Linked DNA regions of Sus scrofa. The protein of the gene in region 1 interacts with the protein of each later gene in a biochemical or structural test. Links are inferred from orthologs where the notes say so. Each region holds a gene or a part of one and is shown in the gene's direction. Other genes may lie near its edges.

Region 1 (3,500 bases):
AGTGGGTTGAAGAAGTGTGATTTGGGCACACAGAATCTTGAGGGTTTGAGGATGAGGTCAGGGAGCCAGAAATTAGGATGGAGGCCAAGAGCAGGAGACTGATAAAGGAAGGGGCCGGAGGGGAGGGTGAGGACAGGGAAGGCCATGGGGAATGGAGGCTGGGGTTGGAAGATGGAAATTGAAAGGTGGGGCAGAGCTGTAGATGGAGGATATCACACAGGGCAGGGGCAGGGAGGGGGAGGGGACACGGCTGGAAGTAGTTGCGGATGAAGGACGCGGCCTGGGGAAGGAAGTTCTAGGATCAGGATGGGGATGGCGACTGGGGATAGGCTGTGGGGTAGAGGATGGGCCTGAGGATGAGATTTTGGCAGTCAGCGGCTATTGGGCTATTGGCTGGACGGTAGCATCTGCTGGGATGTGAAGGGTCGGAGGATGGTGGTGATAGATGTGTGCGTATGAAATCTGTTAAAGGGTTTGAAAGTGCGTAGTATCGAGAAGTAGTAGGAGAGAGGAGGGACCCCTTTGGAAGGAGAGATCGAGGAGTCGGGGAATCCGTGACGAGTGCCTCGCGCTTGGTAGGCTCCAAATACATGTTTGCTTAAGGAGGAGATAGGTTGGGGACCCCGGAAGGCGGCTTTTGGCCGCCTTCCTCCATTGCCATGGAAACGTGGTTTCGGTTGCCCTGGCAATGGGGGAAGCCCCTAGGACCAGCCTAGAGCTGGCCCCGCCCTGAAGTCTATAGAGACCTTGCTGCGCCGAGGCGACTGACGTCAGGGACCTGGACACTCCCCGCTTTAACCCTTTCCCGGATGAGGTGGGGGTGGGGAGAGAGATGAGAGGATAAGACCCGGATGTCTTTCACCACTCCCCTTTTTCTGACGTCCTTTGCACTGCGTAGGGTGTGGGGCGTAGGGGAGGGAGGAAGGAGGTTACTCAGAATGTGCTGCGCCCACAGACCCCTGAACGGGGACTTCTTTCTGCCTGGCTAACGGGGGGCGGGCCCCGGGGCAGGAGAGGCGGAGCTAGCGGATCCCTTCGGCCTTTGGGAGTCTGGTTGCCCCAGGCCACGCCCCATCTCCCCCTCCCGTTGTCCTGACGACAGGGCCTCCAGGAGGTGGGTCTCCCTAGGCCTTGGCTGGGCTTAGATACCGTTGCTAGGCAACACGGTCCCTAGAGGAAGGCGTGGATTGAATGGTGGGTGGGCGAGGGAGAGGGTGGGGCCCGCATCTGGGGGATCCCCGGATTCCTGGGGCCCAGGGTTTGGGGCAAATGTGTGTGAAAATGAGGGGCAAATCTGAGGTAGGGTTATGAAGGTATCTGAGTGTATGTGGGCAGATAGGGACAGGGATGGGGGCAGGAAGGGAGGGCGGACCCAGTGGACCTAAGTCCTGGGGGGTGTGTGTAGCGCATAAGGCATATAACACTCTCTGGTGTTACATCCGGTGAGAAGATTCTTCTCCCCCCCACCCCCCGTCGGTCCCCCCGCCCTGACTCTTCACCATCTGCTGCTCCCCCATCTGGCTGTCTCTCCCTTCCTGCTTCTCAGACACCTCCTTCCACATGCAGGGGACCTGGGCTGGGCAGAGTTGGGTCCAGCACGTGTGCACGTGTGTGTATGTCACGTGGAGTGAGGCCGAGTCCTTCAGGGAGTCAAGGGTAGCAGAGCAGGCTAGATTAAGTGGGTAGGCATTCTCCCGGGCACAGCAGGTTAAGGATCTGATGTTGTCACTGTAGCAGCTTGAGTGGCTGCTGTGGCAGGAGTTCGATCCCTGGCCCGGGAACTTCCTCATGTCCTGGCCAAAAAAACTCCCAAACAAACCAGGCTGAGAGGGTAGCTGCGCTGGTGGGCCTCTTGCTTACCGGGTCTCCTTTTTTTCCTCACAGGCCAATTCTCCCCCAGTGATTGTCAACACAGATACCCTAGAAGCCCCGGGATATGTGAGTTGTTTAGATTTTGGGGCCATTCCGTAGGGAGGAGGGAGAGAGGGAGGGCCCGGGCCGCAGGGGCAGGGGTGGGCCAGGTTCCCAGGGAGGAAGTCTGTCTCACTGCTCTTGTGTTTCTGGCCGGTGCTGGAGTTGCAGGTGAACGGGACGGAGGGGGAAATGGAATACGAGGAGATCACATTGGAAAGGGTGAGCGGGCTCCTCCCCCTGAGGCCCTCTCCCCTCGCTCCCTGCCTGTGCTTCCCTGGGCCTGTGTTTTCTAGGTGGCGAGCCTCTCAACCCTGTCCCTTCCTGCTCGGCTCACAGCTTCCTGCCCCCCCCCCCCCCCCCCCCCCGCCTCCGCCACTCGCCCTGGCTGGAGTGGGCTGTGCAGGAAGCTGACCCTCTTCCCCTTCTTCTGCCCAGGGTAACTCAGGTCTGGGCTTCAGCATCGCAGGTGGCACGGATAACCCACACATCGGTGACGACCCATCCATTTTCATCACCAAGATCATTCCCGGTGGGGCTGCGGCCCAGGATGGCCGCCTCAGGTGGGCGGAGGAGACAGGGGTTAGGATGCTGGATCCCCTGACCGGGAGGGCCAGGGCGGCAGGAAGCTCCTGGCTCAGGCCCGCCTTGCTGTCTTCAGGGTCAACGACAGCATCTTGTTTGTAAATGAAGTGGATGTGCGGGAGGTGACCCACTCAGCTGCGGTGGAGGCCCTCAAAGAGGCGGGCTCCATTGTCCGCCTCTATGTCATGCGCCGGAAGCCCCCCGCCGAGAAGCTCATGGAGATCAAGCTCATCAAGGGGCCTAAAGGTAGTAACTTGTTGTGCCTCCACCCCCACCCCCCCATGCCAACCGTCCCCAGCCCCAAGACCTGCTCTCCAGGTACCTGGGCACCCACCTCTGCCCTCCGCTCCATCCAGGACTTGGCTTCAGCATCGCAGGCGGTGTAGGGAACCAGCACATCCCTGGAGATAATAGCATCTATGTAACCAAGATTATCGAAGGGGGTGCCGCCCACAAGGATGGGAGGTTGCAGATTGGAGACAAGATCCTGGCGGTGAGGACCCCCCATCGCTCTTCCAGCCCACACCCGGGTCCTGTGTGCTGGGCCCTGCACAGGGCCCGGGCTCCCTTTGCGGCTCAGCGGCAGGGCATCTGCCTTGAGGCGATTTCTGGTTCTGTCTGAGCTCTGCTTCCCTTGACCCCAGGTCAACAGCGTGGGGCTGGAGGACGTCATGCATGAGGATGCCGTGGCAGCCCTGAAGAACACGTATGATGTTGTCTACCTGAAGGTGGCCAAGCCCAGCAGTGCCTACCTGAGTGACAGCTATGCTCCCCCAGACATCACAAGCTGTGAGAGCCCTCCAAACCCCAGAGCTCCCCGTGCCCGGCCCGGTTCCCCCCGTGACATCGCTGGCGACCGTTCCTCTTCAGATACGTCCCACGAGCCAGCTACAACCTCTGTCACTTCCTGTGGCAGGAGAATAGATGGAAAATTGGTCACCTTAGCGGAACTAGAAAAGATTGTCGATAGGTTTCTTCCCCAGAGAAGGCGCAAGGCCCAGGTG
Region 2 (3,500 bases), on another chromosome or scaffold:
AGTCTTAAAGACAGCCTAGACTGCTTTGCATTCTAATGGGACACTAGCAAAGGGACCTGTTTTTTTTTTTTTTTTTCTGTCCTAACGTTTAGGACTTCCTTATAAGATGGGATAGGTGAGACAATAAAATATGAATATGTAGAATAGATGTTTTGATTTCAGCTGAAGTCAAAGGAGAAGCTCTAGCATGTGTTAACGTAGAAGTTTCTTAGGATACCGACTCAACTCTTTTATCTGTGCTGTATACATTCTTCCTCTTTGGACCAATATGTTTCCTCTGTATTTTTCCTTTAATCATCTTCAAGTGTTGATCTAACTAGATCACAGGTTATTCTGCTTCTAATTATCATATAACATGTTGTATGCATATTTGTTATAAATTATTATAATCCATTGTTATAAAGTAGATTTCCTTTTACTATGGCATTTGGGAAAGAATATGAACTGAGAAAACTGAACAATGGCCTTTAACTCTGTCTGTTCAGATTCTTACTCCACTTTTATTTTCTCTTATTTTTGTAGGTGAAAGAATGAATGCAAATCATTTCACAGTTTTATTTCCTTGTTTTGTTTTTCTCTTCCTGGGGTCTAGCTGACCTTCATGCCTTTCTCTGAGATTACTAATTTAAGTCCTTCTGTTTACATGAGATAACCTGATACCTTTCTCTGCCCATGTACTATAGATTCCCTCTCTGGTTGATATTTCCCACTTAACAAATGAATTTTGGTAAACAAAATAGTAATATTGAATGGACATGATTATGGAGACAATTTTATAGTTGCCTCACAAATTCTTTAAAGATGAGGGAAATCATTAAGGAAGATATATTATTCATGATAATTACAACACATGGAATAGGGTATTGAAAAGAAAAGAGTATAGCTAGCTTAGCATTTAAAAAGTTAGTGCTTCAGGGGTTGAGGGAAAGGAGAAATGCATAGGTAGAGTAGAGCACAAAGAATTTTGAGGGCAGAAAAAATACTCTGTATGATACTATAATAGTGAGCACAGAGACTATAATGGTGAACACATGTTATTGTACATCTGTCAAAACTCAGATGCTCAACACCAAGAATAAACACTATTGGGTGATATTGATATGTCAGTGTAGGTTCATTGGTTGTAACTAACATAACACTGATGCACAATATCGATAGTTATGAGGGGTAGTGTGTGTGGGATACAGGGGGTACTTGGAAAATATCTTTATATTCTGGTCAGTTTTGCTATGAATCTAAAACTGTTCTAAAAATAAAGTTTATTAAAAACAAACAACAACAGCCAAAGTTTATGCTTATTGACATCTCAAAAGCATCATGAACATACTAAATTTTTCTTTCTTTAACTCAAAATATATGAATTAAACTATTTGAGTAATTGAGGTTCTCAAAGGGAAATACCTCTCTTGCTGCACTCACTAGCTACCTCATTTGATAAACATTACAAAAGCTATAAATTCAATTACTTATGCTGTACTTCATTAACTTTTGGTTCCATTTGTCTCTAGGTTTGAAGTTTGAGGAAATTCAAGAAAGATTTGGTGAGGAGTTCTTTAATATATGCTTCGATGAGAATGAAAGAGTTCTTCGAGCTGTAGGTGGCACGTTGCAGGACTTTTTTAATGGCTTTGATGCTTTATTGGAACACATTAGAACTTCTTTTGGAAAACAGGCCACTCTGGAGTCTCCGTCATTCCTATGCAAAGAGCTCCCTGAAGGTACTCTTATGCTTCACTACTTCCACCCTCACCATATTGTGGGATTTGCAATGCTTGGGATGATTAAAGCTGCAGGAAAGAAGATCTATCGGCTGGATGTAGAAGTTGATCAGGTTGCAAATGAGAAACTGTGCTCAGATGGTTCAAACCCAGGCAACTGTAGCTGTCTTTCTTTCCTTATCAAACAATGTGAAAATACTAATATCACGAAGAACCTTCCACAGGGAACCTCCCAAGTTCCTGCAGACCTGAGAATTAGCATCAACACCTTCTGCAGAGCCTTCCCTTTCCACTTGATGTTTGACCCCCACATGTCAGTCCTTCAGCTGGGAGAAGGACTAAGGAAACAGCTCCGATGTGACACTCACAAAGTGCTTATGTTTGAGGACTGCTTCGAGATCGTTTCTCCAAAGATTAATGCCACCTTTGAAAGGGTCCTGCTGCGACTGTCTACTCCGTTTGTGATCAGGACCAAGCCTGAGGCTTCTGGCACTGAGAATAAAGAAAAGGTAAGTGACTTGATGTGGGTGGTGGGAACTAGGAGATTACATAATTGTTTCAGTAGATAACATGCTGGCAGTACTTGTAATTATTTAGGCAAGAGAGCTTAGTGTGCCATTTAGAAAATTACTGGCCCCTGGACATATCAAAAAAGATTTGGATTTATTCCCAGCCATTTGCATAATCCCTTTCATTAATTTATTTCATCATATAAAAAGAAGAAATGTATTTTTACTAGCCATAGTAATTATAAAAATGATAGGACTCACTAACAACCTGATACTGTAAATCCATGAATATTTCCATTGATTTAAGTCAAACTGTGACAGAAATGGTAAGACTGATTGCAACATTGTGGGAAGGATAACCTAAATAAATGTGGGTAAAACACTAGCTATACTTTGAATATGTTATGCTCTAAATTTCATAATCTAGGAACATATGGTTTATATCCTTTTTTTTCTTAAGGTGCAGAATAATGTATTTTCTAAAAGTTAAAAATTAAGTCACTATCTTAAGACTTCTCTTCTGATTAAACTTTAGTATTGATAAAAACACATTTCTTGAGAATATGTTCATTCTTTGAGAGAATACAGAATACACTAGGATTATTCTATCATTCAATTTAGGAAATATTAAAGCTGTTGGTTTTGTTTTACAAAACTACAATATTCGGCTTGGAGAGATTTGGCCTGAGAACTGAAGTTAATGTTTTTGAAAATGTGCCTGAAGTAGAATATATTATTACCAACTGTTAATTGCTTTATACATTTTGTAGATTTGAGAAAAATTAATTCAATTTGAAGTTACTGCTTCAGATTTTTCCTCCTATATTTCATCTGGCTTGAATGTCTATTTAATTTGTATACCATGGTAAGAAATAGACACAATGAAATGATGACTCAAATGCCAAGGCCCCCTGCCAGTTACAATAATGAGGAACTGTGCTCATTGAGAAGATGCAATTATAATTTAAACATGTTAGTGGCAGTTTAAAAATAAAGCAATAGGCAGGATTTTTAGTTAGAATAAAGATAGCAATCCTCTCATCCTGTTTACGTTTCTGCTTATTCACCTGGGTTTGCCAGAATAGGAAATTTGGGAGCCTACAATTGGTCCAAACAAAATTACAGTCAATAAAGTTATGCATGGAATCATAACCAGATGAATAATATTTTTGAACTATTATGTTGCCAAATTCCAAATTTATAATTTCCTAAAATATGGCAAGAAGAAAATCTTGGTTAAAAATTTTGATTCTGTTGATAAATTTGAATTTTT
Region 3 (2,805 bases), on another chromosome or scaffold:
GAACTATACGTAAAGGATAATAGATGGGTGTAACACAAGCAACTGAACTGAGATCATAAAGTTGCAAATGGAACTTGGGCACGACTGGGAATTACCATCCCTCAGTTTCAAAGGCTTAAGCAGGTCATTGAGACACCCCCCCCCCATCTCAGTGGAGAAATTGCACGATCCCTGCCCAATGTGGTGGCTGACAGTGCTGATCCTTGCAGTGGCCGACCTGCAGGTCACCTTCCAGGAACTGGGGCTGGCTGCCCTTTAATCACAGCACCTCTAAGAGTTGACTGTAGTGCCAGGCACGTGCACTTCTAATTACTTTGTTTTTCCAGAGAGGACTTTCTAGAGACACTGACAGTCTGATTTCTCTTTCTTCTCTCTTTCTCTCTCTCTCCCCCTCCCTCCTCTTGCCTCTCCCTTCAGTCGGCAGCACCTCTTCCTCACCAGCACTGTTAGGAATCAGAGACCCTCGCTCTGAATACGATAGGACCCAGCCACCTATGCAGTATTACAGTAGCCAAGGGGATGCCACTCATAGAGGCCTGTACCCTGGTAAGACGCCAGTTGGGTGTGTGATAGAGTATCTCGAAAAGCCGCGGGTCCCCAGGCACACGGCCAGTGGCCTGGGAGGTAACCTCTGCCTGCAATGAGATGGTCCCCCAGCAGCAAACACTGGTCCAGCCTCTCATCTTCTGCTTCAGGGGCTGTTGCCTTTTTGCTTGTTTTACTTGAAATAAGCTAAGGTGGTGGTCTGGTGACCACAAATAAAAAGAGCACTGTCTCCAAATGAGAAAGCATTTCTGGCTACGCAGCAGCGCTGGCCCTTTGTCCTGCCCCACCCTGCCCGAGCAGTCTTGCGCTGTGTGTTCCGGGGTCCCCGAACCCTGAGCTCTGTGACACCTGGCAGGGCCACATCTCCTGGACCAGCTCATAAATTCAAACCTGCGGATGGAGATCAATTCCATTTACATTCTCATGGGAAAGAGTTTGAATGAATAACAAAATATACAGTCTCCTCAGAGTGACTATTTTTTAAGAATAACAAAAGTGATGTTGTATAGCATTAATATTTTTATGTCCTATTCAGAAAGCCATGCATATTATTTAAAGAATGACAACCTGAAGGGTTACCAAGATTCATATTGTCTCCATTCTCAACTATCTTGCAAATTAGAACCACTTTAGAGGCTTCAAATAAGGCAGTGTGAGCTACCAAAAAAAAAGAAAACTCCTTTCTCAAAAAACCTATTTATTAAAAAGAAATAAATAAAAGCTGGTGGCAATTTAACAACTGCTGGGGGAGCAGTCTCAGTTGTGCTGTTGTCTTTGAAATTGTGATTTCACAGGACTGTTTACTAATCGACTATTGTTACTATGGCAATTAATAGCTCAGAAAATTGCAGATGCTACATTTCAGACATCAAGCTCTTTGCAGAGGAAATGCACAGACCAACCGAAGTGCATTGGTGCTTCAGGTCTGCAGCAGCCTGCTTTATTTTAAAGACCGCCTCCTTAGCATGCGCGCCCTTCTGTATCTTCTTTGCTTGCTTCAATAAACTAATTTGCCTCAAATATGTTTCATTTTCCTCATTAAAAAATAAAATAAAATCTCTGCTAGCCTTAACAATGCTAGAAGGGTAACCAGTGACAGCATCAGGAATCTGCCGTAGACTCCTAAAGACAGCTCTCTGATACCCAGGTTCTTTTTGTTTCAAAACATACTTAAACATGGCCTCCATGCGGCCACCCTGCTTGGAACACACCTGTGCCTGCTCCTTCCAGACCTGGGATTCTGAATCAAAGCTGTTCTAAAGGCCCGGAGCTTGTTCTGCTGTATTTCCCTCCCGCATCTGACCCAGTGCACTAGCTCAGAGCCCTGGAAAAGCCACGTTCCTCGGCTCAGGGGACAAGTCTGCTGTCAAGAGCCACCAGTTCAGTGCTCCCCACAGTGACCAGAGGTTGAGAAGGAACCCTTTGCGGATGAGCTATGCATTAGCATTGCTTTTTGGTAAAACACACAGCCTCTTTTTTTTTTTTTTTTTTTTTTTTTTTTTTGGCATATTCATCAGCCTTTACTGAATAGCCCTGGGGTAAGCAGCAGGCAGGCTTCATCCAGGGAACCCAAGCTGCTGACTGTCCGGGTCTGTGCTGGCAGCGGGGGAATCCAGGGCCTGTCAGGGAGTCCACACCACCTAATGGACCGCAGTAATGAGCACTAGTTTTAATTTCATAAAATATTTTCTTACAGGCTCCAGCAAACCTTCACCAATTTACATCAGTTCCTATTCCTCACCAGCAAGAGAACAAAATAGACGGCTACAGGTGAATTTGCAATGTCATTTTTACAGAAGGCCGATTAGCAGGGATGAACACAGTAAGGGGTCCGCGTGGGTTGACTCACCTGAGCTGGGCCGACACAGCAGGGGCCCAGGAGCTTTCCTGGGGATCTCTGCTCCTCGGAAGCTCATCCATGGTTTATGCAGATCACTTCCACAGTAGCCTCATGTCCTTGAGGAGGACTGAATTGGTACCACCATGCCCCTGACGGGCACCAACTGAGAAGTCTTACACTCCTATTCTTTGCCCAACAGTTTTCTTTTCCCTCTTTTTTTTTTTTTTTCTTTTTTTTTCTTCTTGTTACTCTCTAAGATCTCTTCCATCCTCTGGATGGGGAAAGGTTGGTAAGCACACCTCATTCTCTCATCTCATCCTTCTCTTTTTCACACGTACACCTCTTCCTCCATCTTCATGACTCCCTCCCATCCAAGCCACCATGGTTTGAATACACTTGAGGCCACAGCCAGATTTCTG
Region 4 (3,500 bases), on another chromosome or scaffold:
GGACAAGGAGCCAGGCAGCACTCTGCAAAGCGACGAGATCCCCGTGTCCCTCATTGACGCTGTGCCCACCAGCGCCGAGGGGAAGTGTGAGAAGGGCCTGGAGGACAGCGTCGTTTCCACGCTGGATGCGCTCGAGGCTCTGTCCGTGTCCGAAGAACAGCAGACCAGTGACAATTCAGGTTCTTTCACGATTGTTACGTTTATTCACTGATAGCCAAATCATTTCATCCTTTCAAGCCATCTGCCCTTGGAGTCCTGTTATGTCCTTCATTTCACGCATGTCCCATTTCCTAAATGTGCTGAAAATACCACCATGGGTTTTTTGTGTATATGGTTTCCTTTGTTGTTATTTAAAAAAAAAAAAAAAGTGGCCCTTTCTGTTTCCCCTGTCTCTGGAACAGCTGTGCAATAAACTCAGAGTCCTTACAGCAAAGGGAAAAACTTGGTATTTGTCGTAATAGTAACGAGTCCCATTTGCTTACATGTCTCCTAGTGCCTGTGACGCATCCATTAACCGCTTCTTGTTTCTCACGGCATGCAGGTGTAGCCATCCTGCGGGCTTATAGTCCCGAGTCCTCGTCAGACTCGGGCAATGAGACTAACTCTTCTGAAATGACTGAGAGTTCCGAACTGGCCACAGCACAGAAGCAGTCAGAAAACCTCTCCCGCATGTTCTTGGCCACTCACGAAGGCTACCACCCCCTCGCAGAAGAGCAGACAGAATTCCCCACTTCCAAAACCCCAGCCGGAGGCTTGCCCCCAAAGGCCTCCCACGCTCTGGCCGCCCGTCCCGTGACTGACCTTCCACCCAAAGTTGTGCCTTCCAAGCAGATACTTCACTCGGACCACATGGAGATGGAGCCTGAAACCATGGAGACCAAGTCCGTCACTGACTATTTTGGCAAGCTGCACATCGGCTCAATGGCATACTCCTGCACCAGCAAAAGGAAAAGCCAGCCGGCTGACGGGGAGGGGAAAGCAGCCCTTAATGGGAGCATGCCGGGGAAAAAACAGCAGGGGACCAAAGCACCCGAGGCGGAGGAGGGCCCCAAAGGTCAGTTCGGTCCTGTGTCTTCAAGGGACAGTCAACACCTCAGCACTTTTAACCTGGAGAGAACTGCCTTCCGCAAGGACAGCCAAAGATGGTACGTGGCCACCGAGGCTGAAAAAAGTGGCTTGGAAGCAGCCACAGGGATAACCTTTCCAAGAGCTTCGGGTGTGGGGACAAGGGAGGCCGAAGGGAAGGACGACGGGACTCCCGATGGAGAAGCCATTGAGGTTTCAGGACTTGGCCAACGGGACCACTTCTTAACTGATGTGACCTGCGTGTCTTCCGCTGAAGACTTAGACAACCCGGAGGATGCTGACCCGGCGGCCTGTGACCATCCTTCCAAGCTCCCCGAAGCAGAAGAAGGCGTTGGGCGCCTCTGTGACTACCACTTGGCCAAGCGGATGTCGTCCTTGCAAAGCGAGGGCCACTTTTCCCTGCAGAGCTCTCAGGGCTCTTCAGTGGATGCGGGCTGTGGCACGGGCAGCAGCAGCAGCACCTGTGCCACACCCATGGAGTCCCCACTCTGCCCCTCCATGGGGAAGCACCGGATTCCTGAGACTTCGGGGAAAGGCGTGAGTTACATTCCTCCAGAGGAGAGAGCCGCAGGGCTTCCCGGCCACGGAGCCACCTTTAAGGAGTTACACCCCCAGACGGAAGGGATGTGTCCGCGGATGACAGTGCCTGCTCTGCACACAGCCATTAATGCCGAACCTCTGTTTGGCACTTTGAGAGACGGATGTCATCGACTCCCCAAGATTAAGGAAACCACAGGTACAGCAGTGATGGATTTAGTGCTTTGTGTTACACACCAGAAGCACATAAACCAAAATTACAACAAACCTAAAAATACCAAGTCCAGAAGAAAAGTCAAAGTTAGGATTTTTTTAAAAGGCTGCAGAACTGTAGCCAGGTGAAGTAGCAACCATTGATTCCCCCAGTGTTGACATAAATGCTGAAGTTTCCAGACCAGGGCAGGAGTGGAAATGGCATTTGTTCTTTAGACTCCTGCTCTGTCTTGCTTTTCGAGTTTGATGGCGGAATTTTTTTTTCCCTAAGTGATGAATATAGGCTTTGAGCAGTACGCAGTGTGACTTTCAGTTGCGAGATAGTATTTATTGCCTAGAGTCGCAAAAGTTCTGATTTCCATCTCAAGACATCAAATCTCTGATTTTGCCATTTCGCTTTTGAGAGACAAGGAGGGAGAGTGCACCAGAGGATCTGGGAGATTGGAGGACTTGGGGAAGATCATTTACCTTTCAGCAGTATTTACAGACTCCTCCACACTCTGTAAGGTTCTCCCAGATGAGCAAACTTGAGGTGTCTGGCATATCCAGTGTCAGGAAGGTTTGGGGGGTTGGCATGCTGAGCTGCCTTATTTTCCCCCAAATAATAAAATAGACACATGGGTAGAAACACAGGCACAGCTACCTTCTGTACCTACCTTCACCATTCTTCCACCCCCTGGGTACCTGTCTCCCTGATCCACGTGGCCAGCCATCCTGTGGGAAAAGCAGACCTTCTTTCACACTTTTCAATTTCAAATGGTATCCTCTGTAGGGTCTTTTCCATATAGGTCCGCAGATGGTGGTGGGACCTTATATTGGTTAATTTCCATTCCTGCCCTTTTTTAAGATTATCTCTTTTCTCAAGACTCACCCCTGGCTTCACCTGCCTTGGGAAACCCGTCTATGAATGTTACTTAACTCATCACCCAACTAAGCATATTCACCTCTAAACTAACTGAAGTGCGCTGTTTAATCTTTTGCAGTTTACAAAGAGCGTTCATCTAACTTACCTCTTGCTTCTCACAAAAGTTCTGTGAGATGGAGATTATTTTCTTCACACGCCAACTTTTTTGGGACTTGCCAAGTGTCTCAATTTCAAACCCTATACTAGGCAAACCTCATGGGGTCTTTTAAAAAGGTTACTATATTTAATTTGCATTAATTATACGAGGCCGCTTCTTTTTAGAAAGGTAACTGATGCCAGGATTAACCTAACTTCTTGAAATGAAACTTAAATATCATAAATATGTTTGAATATTTATATATGTGAGATGTATGTTTTCTAATTATGTGTCTAAGCTTTAACAGACAAGTATTAGGAACAAGGCAATTTGTGAAATTCCACTGTCTCCCTTAAAATATTTGCAGTTTCCAAACAGTGCCAAGTGAGTCAGTAGTTTAAGAAGCAACCAATTCTGGTGTTTCTTAAAATGTATTAAAGTCAAACTCTATTCTAAGATTTCAGGAGGCAGTCTTTGGAGAGCAGGTTGACCCTGACAGATGGCAGCCCTTCTAGAATACTTCCTTAGGAGATGACAGATATGATATAGAGATTTAGTAAAAATGACCACCTACGAGATGCTTAATGGTTCTCTCTGTTTTTCTGCTACCCCTAGTGTAGCTTTGACAGAGCCTGGGAAGGAGAGACGAGGAGGCATGCCTTC
Region 5 (3,500 bases), on another chromosome or scaffold:
TATGGTTCTGTGTCTACCTCCTGGTCCCACAGGTATATGTGGTGACTTTGTGAAAATGAATGACACCATGCAGTTAGAATTTGTGCATCTCTGTATGTCGTATTTCAATTTAAAAGTTTACTAAGGGAGTTCCCATTGTGGCTCAGCAGTCATGAACCCAACTAGTATCCATGAGGATGCGAGTTCGATCCCTGGCCTCATTCAGTGGGTGAAGGATCTGATGTTGCCATGAGCTGTGGTGTAGGTCACAGACTCAGCTCAGATTTGTCATTGCTGTGGCTGTGGTGTAGGCAGCTGCAGCTCTGATTCAACCCCCAAGCCTAGGAACTTCCATATGCCACGGGTGTGGCCCTAAAAAGACAAAAATAAATAAATATTTACTAAAAACCAGCAAATAAAAAAGTTGGGCTATATGGAAGTCCAGCAGCTTTGTTTACCACAGCCTGTCACCAGAGTACAGGCTGGGGGCAATTTCGGATATCCTGGTTTGGTTATGTAGCCAGTGGGTATCTGATCTCAGTGTCTGGCCATGGGCTTAGATGTACAGTGTTGCATTGTGTCTGTCCTTATTATGTAACCAGTTACACAGTGTGAGGATTATGGATATCAGGTCACCTGGGGGTCTCGATGCCCCTTTGCTGGTGCAGCCAGGTCGCCGCCGAGTGCTCGAGGCTCTGCCATTTCGCTTGGCTCTGTGTCCTGGATAAGGGCCTCGGGAAAGCCTTTTCTGATTTGATCTTACATCAGGCATTGCTTTCACGTAAGCTTTTTATCTTCCATTTATCCTATTACGTGTTTTAATACAAAACAATGAGCCCCTGTAATCCATGAAAATCCTCCTTGAAAGAGAACTAGTCGATCTGGTTTGCAATGCAGCTGACATAAAAGAAGCCTCTGTGGAGTGACACTGTGGGTCTCGTTCTTCTGCAGGAAATTGTCAGTGAGCTGCCATTCGTCAAGCTGTCCTTAGATGACTTTCCAGACAACAAGGACATCCACAGCGACCTGCACGCCTACGTGCAGCACAGGGTACACAGCAGCCAGGACATCCTCAGCAACATCTCCCTGAACGGCAAGGCCGATGCTGCCCTCATTGGGAAAGTAAGCAGCCACCTGGTGCTGCGGAGCCTGGGCTCCTACCTGTACCTCAAGCTCACCTTGGACCTCTTCCAGAGGGGGCACCTGGTCATCAAGAGCGCCAGCTACAAGGTGGTGCCTGTGTCACTGTCTGAACTCTACCTGCTTCAATGCAACATGAAGTTCATGACCCAGTCCGCCTTTGAGAGAGCGCTTCCGATTTTGAACGTGGCCCTCGCGTCCCTCCACCCCATGACAGATGAGCAGATCTTCCAGGCAATTAATGCCGGCCACATCCAAGGGGAGCAGGGCTGGGAGGACTTCCAGCAGAGGATGGATGCCCTCTCCTGTTTCCTCATCAAGAGGCGAGACAAAACTCGCATGTTCTGTCACCCATCCTTCAGGGAGTGGCTTGTTTGGAGAGCAGATGGCGAAAACACAGCCTTCCTGTGTGAGCCCAGGTATGACAGGCCTCTTCTAGCAGCTCTGTGCAGGGAGTCTGATATGCGCTCAGGAAAGGGATTTCAAACGCAATCCGTGCTATTTCACAGAAGGGCAACACAGCATGAATAATTCAGGAGGGGTGATGGAAAAGTCTCCCTCCCACTAAACCAAAGCTCCCTTCCTTAATGTCTGGACTTTTAGGACTCCTCAGTACATTTGGATAAAAGAGAAACTGGGCAGTACCTGGGTGTCTTTGGCGTCCTCTTCTAGACCTTGTGCCCTGGCACAGGGGTCACCTGTGTGAATGTGTGATAGCTGCTGCAGGGACCAGCCAGCTCCTCTAGAGCCCGTTCCCAGCCCACTTCTTCCCTGGGGATCTGTGGACTGTCCTGCATCCTCAGCACTGCCACTCCTTGCCTGCTCTTGAGCTTGTGGCATCTTGTCCCAGGTATCTGATGTGCTCCCCTCTGGCCCTCAGACACAGTGATCACATCTGGCCACCTCATTTCGTATTTGTGTTCTGCACAGTGTAACAGACTGGGATTTGGGGGTCTGGAGGATGCCCCATTTATGAAATGGCGAAGGGGCAGCTGTATCCAGACAGTCAAAAGTTTCAAGAGACTTTGCCGCAAGGCTGGGCCAGAGTTCAGGTTCCCTCACTGCCTGATGAGGGGGCAGGTGGGAAGCCTGCCCACCCTGTGGTGTGGTGCTAGTCAGGATGAGAGACAGGGAATTTGAGATGCTGATGCTCTCAGAAAAGGGTGTGTTCATGTCCAAGACCTGTGCCTGGCCCTGACCTTGGCCAGCATCCTTGCTGTCTTGAATGATTTCTGCCTTCTGTGAGTCAGAATGGCTCCTTACCTTTTATAGCAGGTCTGACAAGCTACTCATTTCTTCCCTTTTGTCTGGACTGGGCATTTGATCAGATGCTGGGGCCTAGAGATGAAATGAATAAGCGCTTGTGAGCCCCATAATCCCTTCCTCCCATGGATATTGACTTAATGCCGACCCCCTGGGTTTAATTGCTCTTTCAGGTCGTGGTCGGGTGTTTTCCTAGGCGACACTGAGCTAAAAGTTTATCGTCTTTTGAACCTGCTTTGGGGAAAAAACCTGTAACTCCAGGTTATTTAGCCAGACAGTAATATCTAGGTGAAATGTGTACTGTGACTTATTTGGCCAAATCAGATGATTTTCTAGGAAAACGCAGGTGTTTTCTAGGAAGGCAGTGAGGTAGAGACCAGCCTTGCTGACATGAGGTAGATGGCTGGCTTGGCCTGAAGGCAGTGGGAGAGGAGATGCTATAGATGACGTGGAGGTGATATGGGCCAGGTTGAACTCTGGGACCAGCCCATGGATGGCATCCAGGAGTGCCTGGAGCACTGGAAGGTAATAGAGAGTAGTTTCCATGGGAACACAGGAGGCTCTCACCTGAGAGGGAAAATCAGACTTGAGTTCTGGGAGGTAGTGTCTGCAAAGGAGCATGGCGTATGTGCTCTAGACCCTTACAACATGTTAGATGGACACTCACGCAGTGTGGGCTTAAATATCATGTCTTCCCCTGGAGGATAAAAAGCAATCTCTTGGTTTTCATATGCCCCGATTTCCTTGTCCCTAACATGGTTTATTTATCATTGATTTGAGAAACAGGCAAGCATCATACTTTTAATCCTCTGGATCAGCAACTGTTAGAAAACGCATTTAGAAGAATTCTTTTCTACAATGTTTATCTTTTCCTCAGCAAAACAGACCTCAGAGTTATCAGGGTTATAGAAATGAAAATATTTCACCTAGCACAGAAGTCACTGTTCTTGGAGTAAACAACCCTTTGCATCTTTTCCAAACAGATTAGTTCAGACAGAGGCATGGAGTCCACAGGAGATAGAATGAGACCTACAGGGGAAGGAAAATGGGTAGGATGGCTCCTTCATGAGAAGATTAGTGGGGGGAATTAATTGGTGGCATCAGTTGAATGTCTTATC
Region 6 (4,260 bases), on another chromosome or scaffold:
AATAGACAATCAAACAGATATTCGAAGACAGAGACTTGCTGGTAATGTAAAACCAAAAACACGTCTGGAAGCTGTGCCAGGATGGGCCAGACTTGCCTTGAAGCATATTTCTCTCTGGACGGATGCTCCTCGCTAAAACCCAGCAGGGCTAGGGCGAGCCGGATAGCCTGGCTCTCTAACCCAGAAGCACTCAGCTGTCCTCTTAGCCACCCTCCTGCCTCCCGCAGGAGGAACGAAAACTGTCAGCCCAGATGTTGGGGAGCAGGAACTCTTTTACCCTTATATCTGAAAGGGGGTGACTCATTTCTAGAGAGGAGCACAGGGACAGGAACAGGGTCCTGAACTCTGCTTGCTTGGGTTTAAATCCCAGCTTTTACCGTGTTCTAACTGTGTGACTTTAGGCAAGTTAGTCCATCTCTCTGTGTCTCATTTTCCTTGTCTCTAAAAAGTGGAGATAATAACATTGCTGAGAAAATGGGTTGCCAAGGGAATAGGCCAGTCAATATTTGTAAAGTGCTGAAAATGGACCTGACACAACAAAAGAGCCAAGTATGTATGGATTGTTATTCTACTGCTGAGAATTCTCCAGCCCCGGGCACTCCACAAGCTCCGGGGCTCCCTCTCCTGAAGAGCCCCCACCCCAACTCCCTACACAGATGTGCTTTTGGTTCCGGCTCCCAGCTTCACCAGGCAGAAACCACTCTCACCAGCTTCTCTCTCTCCCTCCTCCCCTTCCCTGCTCATGGTTTCTGCTAATGGCTTTGTGGGGAGAGCAGCGAGGTTGTGAGCGTCAGGGCAGCGAATCTCCCAGACCCAGCTGGCTGCCTAGGGCTGCTGGGTGGCATCTGCCCTCTGACCACCGCTGTCTGCACTGGGAATGGGGGCTTTACTAAGCGGCAGGACACACTAAATTTTCCCTCAGTTACCTTTTGGTACCAATGTATGCAGGGAGATGGGAAAAGAGATGCTTCACCTTCAATCTGGAGATACAGACATATATATATACATTTTTTTTTCCCAAGGTCCATAACTATCCTGCCCCCTCCTGTTTGTAATTCTGCCCAAAGAAGAGAGACCCTTTATTCCTCCAAGGGAGAAACGTAAAAAGCACTGCCTTCTCTCATACTCCCTCTCATCTCAAAATCATCCCTCCAAGGGCAATTCATTTCCCCCTGAGCCCATCGGCGCTCAGCGGGCTTCCCAGGTGAACTGAAATCCAGAGCTATTCTCATCTGGTTGCCCTTGGAGTTTCAGCGCTCTCGGTACAACCTGTTCCTCCATCCTCCCCACTCCCTCTCTCCCTCCCTTCCTTCCTCCCACCGCCGGCGGAGCCCCGCTCAGCCCCTCCCTCCTCGCTCGGGCCCCAGCTGCGCCCTCCGGGGAGACTCCCGCTGCCTCTGAGCCCGGAGGGGAGGCGGGGGAAGGAGAGGACGACAGGGGGCGGGGAGCCGCGCGGGGCGGAGGCCGCGCCGGGCGGCTGGAGGTTGCATCTGCTGGAAGGCGGCTTTTGGCTGCTTGGTAACGGGCTGCCAGAACCCAGAGAGGCAGAGGGCAGGGCAGCGGCTTCTTGACGTCAGGACCGAGCGAGGGGACCCGGCCAGCCACTCCAGCCCGCCCCACAGCCGTGCCGGCGGCCAGCAGAAGAGGCGTCAGGCGCGGGTCGCCCAGCAGGGTGTGAGGGGGGCGCGGGAGTCAGTCCGCAGGGGCGCAGCATGCCCCCCGCTCCCGGACCATGGAGATCGCCCTGGTGCCCCTGGAGAATGGCGGTGCCATGATCGTCAAGGAAGGAGGGGAGGCCGGCACCGCAGGGGGAGAGCTCCGCTGCCCCCCGACGGCTGCGCTCGGAGATGGACCCAAGGAGCGGGAGCCAAGGGGCCGCGGAGCAGAGAGGCGCGCGGATCCGGGAGGCCGGCCGGTGCCGCCGCCGCCCCAGGAGCTGCCGCAGTCGAGGTGGCTGCCTCCGGAGGAAGAGGAGGGAGATGGCGACCCCGCCCTGGGCGTGGCGGAGGACCAGGTGCTGGGCGCGGGCTCCCTCCATCACCAGCGCGTCCTCATCAATATCTCGGGGCTGCGCTTTGAGACGCAGCTAGGCACCCTGGCGCAATTCCCCAACACGCTCCTGGGGGACCCCGCCAAGCGCCTGCGCTACTTCGACCCCCTGAGGAACGAGTACTTCTTCGACCGCAACCGGCCCAGCTTCGATGGCATCCTCTACTACTACCAGTCCGGGGGCCGGCTGCGGAGGCCGGTCAACGTCTCCCTGGACGTGTTCGCGGATGAGATCCGCTTCTACCAGCTGGGGGACGAGGCCATGGAGCGCTTCCGGGAGGACGAGGGCTTCATCAAGGAGGAGGAGAAGCCCCTGCCCCGCAACGAGTTCCAGCGCCAGGTGTGGCTGATCTTCGAGTACCCGGAGAGCTCGGGCTCCGCGAGGGCCATCGCCATCGTCTCAGTCCTTGTCATCCTCATCTCCATCATCACCTTCTGCTTGGAGACCCTGCCTGAGTTCAGGGATGAACGCGAGCTGCTGCGCCATCCCCCGGTGCACCACCAGCCCCCTGGACCCGCCCCAGGGGCCAATGGCAGCGGGGCAGCGGCGGCGCCGCCTCCCTCAGGTCCCACAGTGGCGCCTCTCCTGCCCAGGACCCTGGCGGACCCCTTCTTCATCGTGGAGACCACGTGTGTCGTCTGGTTCACCTTCGAGCTTCTGGTGCGCTTCTTCGCCTGTCCCAGCAAGGCTGAGTTTTCCCGGAACATCATGAACATCATCGACGTGGTGGCCATCTTCCCCTACTTCATCACCCTGGGCACCGAGCTGGTGGAACAGCAGCCAGGGGGTGGGGGAGGGGGCGGCCAGAACGGGCAGCAGGCCATGTCGCTGGCCATCCTCCGAGTGATCCGCCTGGTCCGCGTGTTCCGCATCTTCAAGCTCTCCCGCCACTCCAAGGGGCTGCAGATCCTGGGCAAGACCCTGCAGGCCTCCATGCGGGAGCTGGGCCTGCTCATCTTCTTCCTCTTCATCGGCGTCATCCTCTTCTCCAGCGCCGTCTACTTCGCCGAGGCCGACAACCAAGAGACCCACTTCTCCAGCATCCCGGATGGCTTCTGGTGGGCCGTGGTTACCATGACCACGGTGGGCTATGGGGACATGAGGCCCGTCACCGTGGGGGGCAAGATCGTGGGCTCTCTGTGTGCCATCGCTGGGGTCCTCACCATCGCCCTGCCTGTACCCGTCATTGTCTCCAACTTCAACTACTTCTACCACAGGGAGACGGACCACGAGGAGCAGGCAGCCCTTAAGGAAGAGCAGGGCAGCCAGAGCCAGGGGACAGGACTGGCCAGCGGTGGCCAGCGGAAGGCCAGCTGGAGCAAGGGGTCCCTCTGCAAGGCTGTGGGGGCCCTGGATAATGCAGATGGATCCCGGAGGGGCAGTTGCCCCTTAGAGAAGTGTAACCTCAAGGCCAAGAGCAATGTGGACTTGCGGAGATCTCTGTATGCCCTCTGCCTGGATAGCAGCCGGGAAACAGATTTGTAAGGGGGATGCAGGTGGATAGTTGGCAGAGAGCTGGGGACAGCGGGGGGCCTCCTGACCTTGGGGATCTACTTCATGGCGAAGAGTATTTCTAGCCCACCCTGTAACCTAGGTCCGCCCCTTCTTCTTTCACTGCTCCCCTCCTGCGTCTCCTTGATCCCCTAGTTTTTCTTTCCTCTTCTTTCCATGACACCCAGGGTCACCTATTTTTAAAAAGTACCACATTCCATGACGCAGGAGCTGTTGAAATGGTGAGCACTGTGAGATGGATGTATTTGTAGCCAGTTTCCTAGACCCAGCAGAGGGATAACCCAAACAAAAATGGCTTTAAATAGCCCAATCCCCAGAGAATTGGTAATCTCCCCCCATCCCTGTGTTCCAAATTTGCTTTACATATAATTATATTTGTGTACATGAGAAAATATTATTTTTATGGCTGGCGAGTGGATTTTTGTACTGTAGTTCAGATGGAGAGATTTTGGATATATTTTCAAGACATACATTGTATTTATGAAAGAGGAGGTTATGGCAACATTCTCCTGTGATATTTCTATTACAGTCCGAGACCCTGGTCTGGCTGTTCTGGTTCCTGTTATCTGCAAGCCTCTCTCTTTTCTGAGTTGTGATTTCGGTGCTTTGTGTCTAGGGCAGAGAATGCTCTGGAAGAAAGCAAGTCTAACTTTTTCTGTGCGCCTTAACCAGTTCTTGTAACTTTCTTCAAAAAGCAT

What was found.
Region 2: the proteins of DLG4 (region 1) and GUCY1A2 interact in a test that uses a peptide from one of them, tested with the Homo sapiens proteins (2 studies listed by IntAct, with this or other methods). The link is inferred for Sus scrofa from reciprocal best matches to the Homo sapiens genes DLG4 and GUCY1A2.
Region 3: the proteins of DLG4 (region 1) and PKP4 interact in a test that uses a peptide from one of them, tested with the Homo sapiens proteins (2 studies listed by IntAct, with this or other methods). The link is inferred for Sus scrofa from reciprocal best matches to the Homo sapiens genes DLG4 and PKP4.
Region 4: the proteins of DLG4 (region 1) and FRMPD4 interact in a biophysical measurement, tested with the Homo sapiens proteins (2 studies listed by IntAct, with this or other methods). The link is inferred for Sus scrofa from reciprocal best matches to the Homo sapiens genes DLG4 and FRMPD4.
Region 5: the proteins of DLG4 (region 1) and TANC1 interact in a test that uses a peptide from one of them, tested with the Homo sapiens proteins (2 studies listed by IntAct, with this or other methods). The link is inferred for Sus scrofa from reciprocal best matches to the Homo sapiens genes DLG4 and TANC1.
Region 6: the proteins of DLG4 (region 1) and KCNA5 form a complex in vitro, tested with the Homo sapiens proteins (2 studies listed by BioGRID and IntAct, with this or other methods). The link is inferred for Sus scrofa from reciprocal best matches to the Homo sapiens genes DLG4 and KCNA5.

Annotation. Positions count from the first base shown.
Region 1 is NC_010454.4:52,560,444-52,563,943, reverse strand, and holds part of DLG4 (disks large homolog 4), read left to right. Parts: intron 1-1,884; coding exon 1,885-1,938; intron 1,939-2,063; coding exon of another isoform or gene 2,064-2,073; coding exon 2,074-2,133; intron 2,134-2,349; coding exon 2,350-2,474; intron 2,475-2,572; coding exon 2,573-2,742; intron 2,743-2,852; coding exon 2,853-2,989; intron 2,990-3,140; coding exon 3,141-3,285; intron 3,286-3,500. UniProt on the Homo sapiens protein: Postsynaptic scaffolding protein that plays a critical role in synaptogenesis and synaptic plasticity by providing a platform for the postsynaptic clustering of crucial synaptic proteins.
Region 2 is NC_010451.4:62,206,081-62,209,580, forward strand, and holds part of GUCY1A2 (guanylate cyclase soluble subunit alpha-2), read left to right. Parts: intron 1-1,508; coding exon 1,509-2,227; intron 2,228-3,500. UniProt on the Homo sapiens protein: Has guanylyl cyclase on binding to the beta-1 subunit. Isoform 2 acts as a negative regulator of guanylyl cyclase activity as it forms non-functional heterodimers with the beta subunits.
Region 3 is NC_010457.5:65,675,781-65,678,585, forward strand, and holds part of PKP4 (plakophilin-4), read left to right. Parts: intron 1-417; coding exon 418-546; intron 547-2,242; coding exon 2,243-2,316; intron 2,317-2,805. UniProt on the Homo sapiens protein: Plays a role as a regulator of Rho activity during cytokinesis. May play a role in junctional plaques.
Region 4 is NC_010461.5:9,433,039-9,436,538, forward strand, and holds part of FRMPD4 (FERM and PDZ domain-containing protein 4), read left to right. Parts: coding exon 1-179; intron 180-541; coding exon 542-1,822; intron 1,823-3,452; coding exon of another isoform or gene 3,453-3,457; coding exon 3,458-3,500. UniProt on the Homo sapiens protein: Positive regulator of dendritic spine morphogenesis and density. Required for the maintenance of excitatory synaptic transmission. Binds phosphatidylinositol 4,5-bisphosphate.
Region 5 is NC_010457.5:66,112,168-66,115,667, forward strand, and holds part of TANC1 (protein TANC1), read left to right. Parts: intron 1-930; coding exon 931-1,538; intron 1,539-3,500. UniProt on the Homo sapiens protein: May be a scaffold component in the postsynaptic density.
Region 6 is NC_010447.5:65,439,408-65,443,667, reverse strand, and holds the start of KCNA5 (potassium voltage-gated channel subfamily A member 5), read left to right. Parts: upstream 1-1,460; 5' UTR 1,461-1,732; coding exon 1,733-3,535; 3' UTR 3,536-4,260. UniProt on the Homo sapiens protein: Voltage-gated potassium channel that mediates transmembrane potassium transport in excitable membranes. Forms tetrameric potassium-selective channels through which potassium ions pass in accordance with their electrochemical gradient.